Arabidopsis thaliana: one gene and its partner. The protein of the gene in region 1 interacts with the protein of each later gene in a pairwise test. Each region holds a gene or a part of one and is shown in the gene's direction. Other genes may lie near its edges.

What was found.
Region 2: the proteins of TPR7 (region 1) and ATERDJ2A interact in a protein complementation assay, tested with the Arabidopsis thaliana proteins (one study listed by BioGRID).

What each region holds. Positions count from the first base shown.
Region 1 is NC_003076.8:7,271,437-7,277,095, forward strand, and holds TPR7 (Tetratricopeptide repeat (TPR)-like superfamily protein), read left to right. Parts: upstream 1-1,634; 5' UTR 1,635-1,958; coding exon 1,959-2,054; intron 2,055-2,166; coding exon 2,167-2,397; intron 2,398-2,533; coding exon 2,534-2,590; intron 2,591-2,704; coding exon 2,705-2,833; intron 2,834-3,019; coding exon 3,020-3,097; intron 3,098-3,218; coding exon 3,219-3,289; intron 3,290-3,411; coding exon 3,412-3,461; intron 3,462-3,601; coding exon 3,602-3,749; intron 3,750-3,906; coding exon 3,907-4,420; intron 4,421-4,510; coding exon 4,511-4,654; intron 4,655-4,735; coding exon 4,736-4,882; 3' UTR 4,883-5,143; downstream 5,144-5,659. UniProt on the Arabidopsis thaliana protein: Plays a role in protein import into the endoplasmic reticulum (ER). May function as chaperone docking protein during post-translational protein translocation into the ER. Chaperone receptor mediating Hsp70-dependent protein targeting to chloroplasts.
Region 2 is NC_003070.9:30,067,734-30,073,951, forward strand, and holds ATERDJ2A (DnaJ / Sec63 Brl domains-containing protein), read left to right. Parts: upstream 1-1,785; 5' UTR 1,786-1,936; exon of another isoform or gene 1,937-1,979; intron 1,980-2,255; exon of another isoform or gene 2,256-2,258; 5' UTR 2,259-2,289; coding exon 2,290-2,475; intron 2,476-2,553; coding exon 2,554-2,649; intron 2,650-2,739; coding exon 2,740-2,860; intron 2,861-2,974; coding exon 2,975-3,081; intron 3,082-3,167; coding exon 3,168-3,385; intron 3,386-3,493; coding exon 3,494-3,671; intron 3,672-3,748; coding exon 3,749-3,868; intron 3,869-4,090; coding exon 4,091-4,177; intron 4,178-4,337; coding exon 4,338-4,448; intron 4,449-4,664; coding exon 4,665-5,504; 3' UTR 5,505-5,707; downstream 5,708-6,218. Other genes in the region: AT1G79950 (RAD3-like DNA-binding helicase protein), read left to right, coding at 5,847-6,083. UniProt on the Arabidopsis thaliana protein: Required for integral membrane and secreted preprotein translocation across the endoplasmic reticulum membrane.

The sequences.
Region 1 (5,659 bases):
AGTGAAACTGCCACGTGAGATCCTCTCCACGTCCCGACAACCATCAAAATTCAAAGCCTTCTTCTTTCTGTTTCCTCCATCATGCTCTTTAACTCATTTTTTCCCTAGCATATCAATTTTAAAAAAATAGTTTGCAATTTACGGCAATAAAATGTGGGCAACAAAAACAAAACTGAATATTTACATTCGTTTTCATTGTACAATAGAGGGTACATTCAAAAAATACAACTCACTCATTATCCTAGATTGCTTTGCCATATAATAGTAGAATACGTAAGAATGTGTCTACGATGTATTCTAAAGGATAACAAGGGCTATGTGAATTATAAAATCAAGGCTATATATGTGTATGCATATTTTGGTTCGTGTAAACATGTTAAAAAGTTGCTTTGTTGTAATCTATTTAGAAGCACATGCATGTTGTAATCTAGCTTCGAGAGATGTTGCACAACATGTATCAGAATGCTTTAGCAATATTGCTTTATTAATTATAAGTTGAAGATATTGTTTCCTTCTTGTTTGTTATATGATATAACTTTATTAATCCATTGGTTTCATTGTGACCAAGAAGAAGAGGTTTGCTAGAATTTCCTCGTTCTCGCTGCAATAGTACTTAGTGATTAGTTAATTGATAATCATAAATCATATCAACATTCACTTCTCTCAGACTGCTATCATTTAGTGAATCATAATCTCTGCTAATATTGAAAAATTGGGAGACGAGAGATAGATGAGAGTTGTAGCTAGCTTTAGTCAAAGTGGTCCTCTTCTAATGTGACTATACCACCGTTTCCATTCTTTCAAACATTGAAACATTTATGCTGCGGTGGAGAGAAATAAACATTTCAGAAAAATTAATTGATAGATGTACTCGTCGATGAAACTATATCGAAACAATATTGAAAAAAGTATTACCAAACACAACTTATATGTCACTAAAACTCGTCTTTTTTCTTTGTATGGTCAAAACACTAAAACTCGTTCAACAACTGAAAAGATTGTCGTATTGAAATAAAATTCTTTGCCCGAATAGTTGTACATATGTATTTTTTTGTTAAGATCATTTTGATATTTAAGATACTAAAAATTCTGCAGAAGACATGCATATTTTAAAGTTTAATAAATGGATTACTTTAGAGATTGAGTCTATGAAACTGAATACTAAACATTTTTGGATTCCAACAAATATATTATGGCTCTGAATGGTAATCAAAACCGCACTTAAAACCGCACCGCAACAGTACTGTAACAGTATTAAAATCTCTACATATTCATATGTATCTATATATTTTCGTTACTATTTGAACCGCACCGTACTTCTCCCGCACCGCAAAACGCAATCACCATTCGGAGCTTATATCATGGAGATGTAGCTGGGCAAACATATGATATCGATATCCAGACCCTAAAGAATTTTAAAATATCAAAAAATTATTTGTACCCTCAAACAAATTTAAATTGAATTTTATTGACACTTTAACACGTGTAACAGTTAAATTGGACGACTCTTTCTAAAACGAAATAAAAAAGAGTTTAACAAGAGATTCGTTTCAGTTTAAGAAGAAAAAAAACACGAGATTAGTCTTCCAACATGGACAAGGACATGACAATTTGCACGTAATCATATAGTTACGTTAATCAATACAATTACGTAAATTAATTTATTATGGCACGTCACAGCATCATCGTAGATCAAGGGTAAAACAGTCATTCTCCATCATCCAGGCATATTCCGGTCGGTGAATTGAGGAGGTTGAGCGATAAATTTTCCAATTCGATTCTATATTATTGGAAACTACTTTCGGGTCGGCAAAACAATTCTCCTTCGATTTTCCGATTCTCACAAACTCAATCTCGATCCAGATTCCGAGCTTATCCTTCTCTGGCGAATTTCGATTTTCTGTGTTTCCGATCTGATTACAGAGAACCACATCGAAGCTTCGAGAAAAAAAAACACGATGTTTAACGGGTTAATGGATCCTGAGATGATTCGGCTCGCTCAAGATCAGATGAGTCGTATGACTCCTGCTGATTTCGCTAGGATCCAACAACAGGTTTCGTTATTTTTCCTGATTCGAATTATTCGATCGATTCTGAGGAGAATTTGTTTGATTTGATTTGATTATGGCTTTGTATGATGAATTTATACCATTGTTTATTATACAGATGATGTCAAATCCAGATTTGATGAATATGGCAACAGAGAGTATGAAGAACATGAGGCCTGAAGATTTGAAACAAGCTGCGGAACAGCTTAAGCATACTCGGCCTGAAGATATGGCTGAGATTAGCGAGAAGATGGCTAAAGCTTCCCCTGAAGATATTGCAGCTATGCGTGCTCATGCTGATGCTCAATTTACTTATCAGATCAATGCAGCTCAGATGCTTAAAAAACAGGTAACAATTGACTTCCTGAGAGAAGTTTTCTATTGAATTTTGCTTTCCTGATTATAAAGTAAGGAACAAGAATGGCTTCAGCAAGTGGACCTTTGTGTAATTTGATGTTAATCTCATTTTCTACTACGTTTGGCAGGGAAACGAGCTTCATAGCCGAGGAAATTTCAGCGATGCCGCAGAGAAATACTTGCGTGTAAGTCTGCAGACGTATCTCATTTGTCATGCTACTTGACAAGAAGAGTTTTATTTGTAACCTGATATGCGATTCTTTTCTACTTGTTTACAATGCTCTTGGACCATATCTCAGGCGAAGAACAATCTGAAAGAGATTCCATCTTCTAAAGGTGGAGCAATTTTGTTGGCTTGTTCTCTCAATCTAATGTCGTGTTATTTGAAGACGAATCAGCATGAAGAGTGCATAAAGGAAGGTTCTGAGGTATATTCTTTATGCTCTTAATTTTCTGAAAACTCATAGATGAAAACATTTTTAGGAAAAAGAGAGATGGCAATCTTTTGGCTTCTTTTTTGTAGATGTAACACATGATGTCATACAGCGTTTTATGATCTATTCAAAACTGTTTCGACATTCTTCTGATAAATTTACATTCTTACATTATTTCAGGTTTTGGGATATGATGCAAGGAATGTCAAAGCCCTATACAGAAGGGGTCAAGCTTACAGAGATTTGGGCTTGTTTGAAGTGAGTTCTTCTGTTGCTTATGGAACTTTCTTGAGATTCCTTGTCGATATATATGTTTGTACTGTAGATATGTCCTGACTATATGTTTGCTCAATGCTCATTCACTCTCTTAAACTATAAGGATGCCGTCTCTGATCTAAGCAAGGCCCATGAAGTTTCCCCAGAAGATGAGACAATTGCCGATGTGTTAAGGTATGGATTTTTATATTCATTACTGGTAATGTCATACTTTTCAGTTCTGCTTATCTCAGAGGTTTTGATATTAACATTGAAAAAATAACTTTTGACTTGAAGTATTATCTTTTCTGATGCAGAGATGTTAAGGAAAGATTGGCTGTCGAGGGACCTGGCAAGGCATCAAGAGGTATAATATTATTCCTTATGATTTATTCGAAAGAATTCAGTGTATTATGTCAGACCAGACGTTTCTTTACTACATCAATGATATGCTTCGTCCATGAATATGGAAACGAACTGAAAAATGTTATGTTGTTTGGTTATTAGGTGTGGTGATTGAAGACATAACTGAAGAAAATAATGTTACTTCCGGAGAGAATAAAAAACCGTCAAAAGAGGCTAATGGTCATGCTCAGGGCGTAAAGACTGATGTTGATGGATTGCAAGCTCTCAGAGATAATCCAGAAGCAATCAGGTTCGACACCTTTCCAAACATTAGTGTTTGATGTGTTGTTTCATCTTTTTGTCTCCTAATCTTGAAGACAAATATAATCTAAAGCATCCTTTTTCTGCTACATTTGGCACGATTAGTATGATTTTCTAATTGTTTTTATTCTTTCTATGGCCTGCAGAACTTTCCAGAATTTCATTTCAAAAACTGATCCCGATACACTTGCTGCTCTAAGCGGAGGCAAAGCTGGAGACATGTCACCGGACATGTTCAAAACTGCGTCAAGTATGATAGGCAAAATGTCACCTGAAGAGATTCAAAAAATGGTTCAAACAGCCTCTTCGTTTAAAGGAGATAACCCTTTCGCCCCGACTGCGCCATCTACCGAAAACGGTTTTACACCCACACCTGACATGCTTAAACTTGCATCTGATATGATGGGTAAGATGTCACCAGAAGAGCGTGAGAGGATGTTTAACATGGCATCGTCTTTGAAAGCAAACGCTCCAGCTTCAACATCATACGGCAATGCAGAAGCATCTGAACCACGGGAAAGTTTAGGAGCGAGTGGGAGTTCTTCGGGAAATTCCTTTGTGGCTCCAAGAAGCGGTTTCGAACCAAGCATCCCTTCTGCTCCGCCTGCTGACTTACAGGAACAGATGAGAAACCAAATGAAAGATCCAGCGATGCGACAGGTTTGATCATTTTCGGTTTATGTTTTACCAATTTAGTCAACATAATGTGATTGTTGATGTTCATATAGTAGTTTCTCTGTATATTGGTAGATGTTCACGTCTATGATAAAGAACATGAACCCTGAGATGATGGCTAGCATGAGCGAACAATTTGGAATGAAGCTTTCTCAAGAAGACGCTGCAAAAGCTCAGCAAGCCATGGCTTCTCTTTCTCCCGACGCCTTGGAGAAAATGGTACGAATTCGGTTTAGTAAAACCAAAAGAACATTCAAAGTTGATTGTATAGTTGTCTCAATTGTAAACACGTTGTTGCAGATGCGATGGGCGGATCGGGCTCAAACCGGGATGGAGAAAGCGAAGAAAGCAAAGAAGTGGTTGTTCGGAAAAGGCGGATTGATCTTTGCAATATTAATGCTCGTTTTAGCAATGGTCCTTCACCGTCTCGGCTATATTGGAAACTAGAGGAAACAACGGTATCTTAAGGCTTAATCCTTCGTGAAGATAAAACCAGTCTTCGGTGGGTTCGTTTAGTTTGTAAAACTGTAACATCGTTTTATCTTCTTTTTCTTTCCTCTAACTCTCAGCTTTTTGTTAGTCCACTTGTGTCTAAATTTCTTTACACTTTCTTCTGTAGTGAATTTTAAATTAGAGAAAATACGAATATTTCCTTATATTCGTTATTTTATAAACATAATTATGCTTCTGGTAGAGCGCCTCTACAAGAAAATTGGTTATTTGCGTTGGGAGATTCTTTTAGCAAATAGAAAAGACCATTTCTAATGGTTGTCTCTATTTTTCTTTATAAATATAGAAGGAAAAATAGAGATTTTTATTTTCTATTTTTATATATAGAGAAAAAAAATAAAGATCTCTATAATAGAGGTAAGAATAAAGATGAGTTAGAGTAAAATAGAGGCAAAAATAAAGTTTAAAGACAAAAATAAAGATGAGTTGGAGATGTTCTAAAGAGAAAAGTTCGAGTAAAAAATTTTTTTTTCGCAATCCAACGTTTGCAAATTTTGCGAGGAGAAATTTTGAAATAAGTATATAAAATCATCTTAAACTTTATTAAATTCATAGATATTAAAAAAATAAAAAAACTTCATTAAATTTTAAATTATATTTTTTTTTGTGCACCCAAAATTTAGATAATTTAATTATTTTAATATACGACTGAATACACATTCTTCAAAAGTAAAAAATAAAGAAAAAACTTAGAAGGATGAAGTACAAGAGAAG
Region 2 (6,218 bases), on another chromosome or scaffold:
TTGCGTAAAGCTCTTCCGTCCAAAACCAAATTATTTATAAGTTGAAAGATTATACAACTAACTTTGTATGCGTTAATGATAAACAACAATAATAATTCTAAACTATTTGAAAAATATTATTAGCTAGTAAATGATTTCTGAGTTGGATTTTTTCGAGATAATGTCACTGTTTACTGGCATTTCAATCCTACTGTTGCAAACCTTATTTTGTGAAATATTCTTAGTGTGGACAAAAATCTTGGATCGTAATCATCTAGTACAGTACTTTCTAATCGTCAATTAGATTGAAGAACTATATTAAATGTTTACATATATTTTTGGTATCACTTGCTTCTTTATTTGCATCTTTCCTACCTGATCTTAAGTTTACTCGGTTTAAAACTACTGTATATAGCAAACTTGCAATGACATGCAATATGCTATGATTGTTTTCTTTTGTTATAAATGTTAATATCATATATAAAATGAAAGAAATGTATTACAAAAGAGCATTAACCTAATCACCAGATTGCGAAAACCTTTTAGATGTCTTCTTGAAGATATGGTATTGCAAATTTCACGGTCAAAATTCTTGAAAATGATCGAAGAAAGCAGTGACTGTGAATTATGTAAGACATTATTTACTTGTTTTCAAATGTGGTAAACTCCACCGTGTGCTGCCATTTTTTTGAGAGTGGAAGGAACATTTGGTGAACGAGTTTTTGTCCAAGAGAGAAGCTCAAACTATGTGGAAGGCATATGCGTGTGCTGCCAGTTTCTTGAGAGTGGTAGGAACATTTGGTGAACGAGTTTTTGTCCAAGAGAAAAGCTCAAACCATGTGGAAAGCATATTCGTGTGCTGCCAGTTTCTTGAGAGTGGTAAGAACATTTGGTGAACAAAAGCTCAAACTATGTGGAAGGCATATGATGCGAGAAATGCTTAACCGAGAAAAAAATTAGCCTCCAAATCTCACAAGCAAAATCTCAAGTTAATAAGCATTTTAGCAGTGGTGTCTATGTACAACAATATCATAATATGAAAGCCAGTAATAAAATTTAAATGGTATGAAAAACGATAATAGCTATATAATAACATTTTCTTTGTTTTTAATATCTATATTTTGTTTTAGTTATATATAATATTAACATGTCAACAAAGTTTTCAAATAACTGATTATTTAATATAATCAAAACAAGTAAAATTATACGATATTTGGCTAGATTTAAAACGACTATTTTAGTGAATCGAATAACCAAATCATACCAAACTCATTCAAAATCATTATTAGCTTTCGTTACAGTAGATAAAAAAGTATTGGTAACCATGCTCTTATAAATTTAATTGAATTAGACAGTTTATGATTAAATCGATAATAATAACGAAGATTGATGTATTTTGCAAGTAGAACAATTTATTTCTGGTCGAAATATAAATAGTTACAACAAAACAGTTTTCTTAAAATCATTAAATATTTGTTTTGTTTAAATCTCTATTTTGTTGTAACTATTTACAATCTCTAGATCACATTAAATCTCTAGAACATATAAGAGATTTGTTGCAATCCCTATTACAATATCTGGATCACATTAAATCTCTAGAGCATATAATCCCTCTTTGATCCATATCCTTTTCTCTTTTTCCTTTCTAATTTATAAAAAATGTGATTTTTTTTGGGAAATTCGTTTTCGTTCACCATAAAAACTTTGCTATTAATAATTACTCTAATTTAATGGAAAATAAATAACTCGTAAAAATGTAAAGAGAGAAATGAATTGCGAAATATTTTAATTGAGAAGGTAAAGAAAAGTGAATAAGCAAGTAAAGAAGAAAGAACTCACCAATCAGAAATCAGAAATTAGAAGAGAAGAGAAGCATAAAGAAAAAAAAACTGCAACGCCGTTTGTTGCCGATCTGCAGCAGCGCGATCTCTCTGATTATAGAGAGCTATCATCCTAGGTGAGCTTCTTCTTCGATTTCCTCTTCTACAATATCCTTTCAAGTTCGATTTCATCTTCTTTCACCAATTATTGGTTTTGCTTCCTTCCCGTAGTTTCGTTTGTTTGTTTTCTAAGGTTTTGTGTCGATCTCAAAGTGAGTCCAGGGATTCATATACCTTTAGACTAGATTAGCCGAGATCTATTAGTGTTGATCTCCGTCATGTAGAATCCCTAATTAATTTCAGTGGCCTCAGATCCAGCTTTTCATGTTATTGATAATTTTGTATCCTTGAAGCTTTTTGGATGTTGTGAGATTATAACAGAGCTTTTCCTTTCAGCAGAATAGAATCTCTCAGTTTAAAGGCTCCAAAGATGGCGGCGTCAGAAGAGAATAGCGCATTGTTTCCCATTTTTATCTTGACGATTATGGCAATTCCTTTGGTGCCTTACACCATGGTCAAGTTAAGCGGTGCTCTCTCCAAGAAACAAAGGACCATTCATTGTCAGTGTCTCGAGTGTGACCGTTCTGGAAAATATAAGAGATCCTTGTTTAAAAAGGTTACTTTCCACTCAACCTCCTGCTCTGTAATAGATTATTGCATGTTCCTAACCTCTTCTTCACTTATCTATCTGCAGATCTCTAACTTCTCTACGTGGAGCAACTTGACACTTGTGCTACTCTGGGTCGTGATGATTTTCTTGATTTATTACACTAAGAACATGAGCCGTGAGGTAATCCCATTGCTTGCTGTTGAACTTGAATGCACCGCTGACTTATATCAACTAATTCTACTTGCTTATTTACCTTCTTTTGTGTTACAGGCTCAAGTTTTTGACCCATTCAGTATACTTGGACTGGAACCTGGAGTTACAGATTCAGAAATAAAGAAAGCATATAGAAGGCTGTCGATTCAATACCATCCTGATAAAAATCCAGATCCAGGTCAAGTTTTTCCCCTTGTTATTTTTTTTTTCCCTTTTGATCATTACGGAATTATGGTTGCAGCTTTTGATCCTGATAGTTTTTTCTTCTATGCGCATTTGTTGATCTCTACAGAAGCCAATAAATATTTTGTGGAGTTCATATCTAAAGCATACCAGGCTTTGACTGATTCAGTATCCCGTGAAAACTTTGAGAAGTATGGTCATCCAGATGGCAGACAGGTAAGGATACATCTCCTTTCCCTTCGCATGTGCTCCCGTCTTATTGACAAGCCTATTGAGACTAAAATATTGTTATGTGATCGCAGGGATTTCAAATGGGCATTGCTCTTCCTCAATTTCTTCTAGACATTGATGGAGCATCTGGTGGCATATTATTGCTTTGGATAGTTGGTGTCTGTATTCTCTTGCCCCTTGTGATTGCTGTTATATATCTCTCGAGGTCATCAAAGTATACTGGGAACTACGTTATGCATCAAACACTCTCCGCATATTATTATCTAATGAAACCCTCTCTGGCCCCAAGGTATATTCACTCATACCCATATACATTCAAGTGATGCTATTGGTGCATGACAAATGGGCTGTGTTTTCGTTTGTTTGTATGACATGTTTTAAAATTTTTATTGTCCAGCAAAGTTATGGAAGTTTTCACCAAGGCAGCTGAGTACATGGAGATTCCAGTTCGTAGAACTGATGATGAACCTCTGCAGAAGCTCTTTATGTCTGTTAGGAGTGAACTAAATTTGGACCTGAAGAACATGAAGCAAGAGCAAGCTAAGTTTTGGAAACAGCATCCTGCCATAGTGAAGGTGAATTTTAAAATTATGCAACTGTAATGCTAAATATTGGATAAACTGAAATACTCACTTCCTCAATTTCTGTACAGACCGAGCTGTTGATACAAGCCCAGTTAACTCGTGAATCAGGAGTCCTGTCTCCAGCCCTTCAGGGTGATTTCAGGCGTGTGCTAGAGCTTGCACCTCGCCTCCTTGAGGAGTTATTGAAGGTCTAGTCTCTATTTAAATAACACAATTTCTGATAAAATAACCATCAAAAAGCGATGACCGCAAAGTGCTAACCTAGAAGATATGTATTTTCCTTTAGAGGAACTCGAAACAGACTCTTAAAAGACTTAGAAATTTAGGTTAATAGTGATGCTTTTGGTTACACTGTTAAATTGTGGTTTTCTTAACCATTCTTTCATTATAACATTGTGAGTTTCTTGCAGATGGCGGTTATACCACGCACTGCCCAAGGGCATGGATGGCTGAGGCCTGCAGTTGGAGTAGTTGAGCTATCTCAGTGCATTGTTCAGGTCTTAAATTGCTCTCATCGCCTATCTTCTAGTTTTTATTTGTTTGTGAGCTTTCAGTTCTTTATGTCTCTTTTCTCCACAAGATTTACTTCTTCCTGAAAGTTTAAGAAGTGCTTAGTGTTGTTGTCTAGGAACATAAACTAAAAATCCAAAATCGCAGGCTGTTCCTCTTAGTGCAAGGAAGTCTTCTGGAGTATCATCAGAAGGCATTTCCCCTTTCTTACAGCTCCCTCATTTCAGTGATGCCGTTGTCAAAAAGATAGCACGGAAGGTATACTACTATCAAATGTGTCAAGTGCAGTACTAATATCTAGTTCCATATCATGTGCATTTTTCTCTCACTTTTTGATTCCTGAGAATCTTGTTGGATTCTGTTCTCCAAATAAGTAGTAGTGGTTCTTTAGGTTGGTTTACTTAAAGGTCTAGTCTAAAGACATATATAAACCTCCATTTTATGTTAACATGTCATTGTTTCTCCTATTTTCAGAAGGTTAAATCATTCCAAGATCTTCAAGAAATGAGGTTGGAAGACCGTTCTGAACTACTTACTCAGGTAGCGGGTTTATCAGCAACTGATGTTGAGGACATTGAGAAGGTGCTAGAAATGATGCCGTCTATTACAGTCGACATCACATGTGAAACAGAAGGGGAAGAGGGGATCCAAGAGGGAGACATTGTGACCCTTCAAGCTTGGGTCACCCTGAAACGACCCAATGGGCTTGTAGGCGCTCTTCCTCATGCACCCTACTTCCCCTTCCACAAGGAGGAAAACTATTGGGTTCTTCTGGCTGATTCAGTGTCGAACAACGTTTGGTTCTCTCAGAAGGTTAGCTTCCTGGATGAAGGTGGAGCGATAACGGCTGCATCAAAAGCCATCAGTGAGTCAATGGAAGGTTCGGGTGCAGGGGTGAAGGAAACAAACGATGCAGTGAGAGAAGCGATTGAGAAGGTTAAAGGAGGGTCAAGGCTGGTCATGGGTAAACTCCAAGCACCGGCAGAGGGAACATACAACTTGACTTGCTTCTGCCTGTGTGACACATGGATCGGGTGTGACAAAAAGCAAGCACTGAAAGTGAAAGTCCTGAAAAGAACCAGGGCAGGGACACGTGGGTTGGTTTCAGATGAGGGTGCGATTGCAGAAGAAGGTATGGAGGAGGAAGATGAGATTGAGGAGGAGGATTACGATGATGATTACGAAAGTGAGTACAGTGAAGATGAGGATGAGAAGAAAGATATGGATGAGAAGAGAGGGTCGAAGAAGGCCAATGGGAGTGTGAAACAGAAGAAAGAGTCGAGTTCTGAAGAGTCGGGATCGGAGGAAGAGTGAAACAGAAATGAGATTTTACATTGATAAACAAAACAAAAAATACAATACTTTTGTCCTGGAATCTTGACGGAAACTTCTTTTTCACAGTTTTGATATTCTCTCATTGGCTCCCTTCTCTTTCTTTCTCTCTGTATCACTTTTCTTCAGAGACACACATACAAGCAAAACGCGACTAAGGAGAAAATCGTACTAACTCGGACAAATTTTGGTACACAGCATTACAAAACAAAACAAAACTTTTTAACTCCCCCAAATAGTTTAGGGTTTAGGGTTTATTGGGGGCCCCAATACAGACCATCAGGTATCAGGTAATGGGCCTTGTTAATAAAGTAGTGGGTTATAATGGGCTTTACGGTTGTTTCAAGAAGTGGAAGCCCTACAAGGCGGGAAAATCAGAAGAGGCGCGTCTGCTTCCGTCTTCTTCTTCGTCTTCTCCGGAGAGGTTTTGTGGTGTTATCGGCGGAATCCGACCCGAAAATGCCAAATTACAGCATCAGAGGAATCAATGTTGAATTCCCATTCGAGGCGTACCAGTCTCAGATCATATACATGGACAGAGTCATCGAGTCTCTTCAAAACGTGGGTTTCCCTCTCCCTCTCTCTCTCTCTCTTTTTTACACACCAACTCTCTTCAACTGTTTTGTTGATGATGATATTCGCGTGATGATACTCTCTCTCTCTCTCTCTATTCTGTTGTTTATTTTGCTTTCCCCA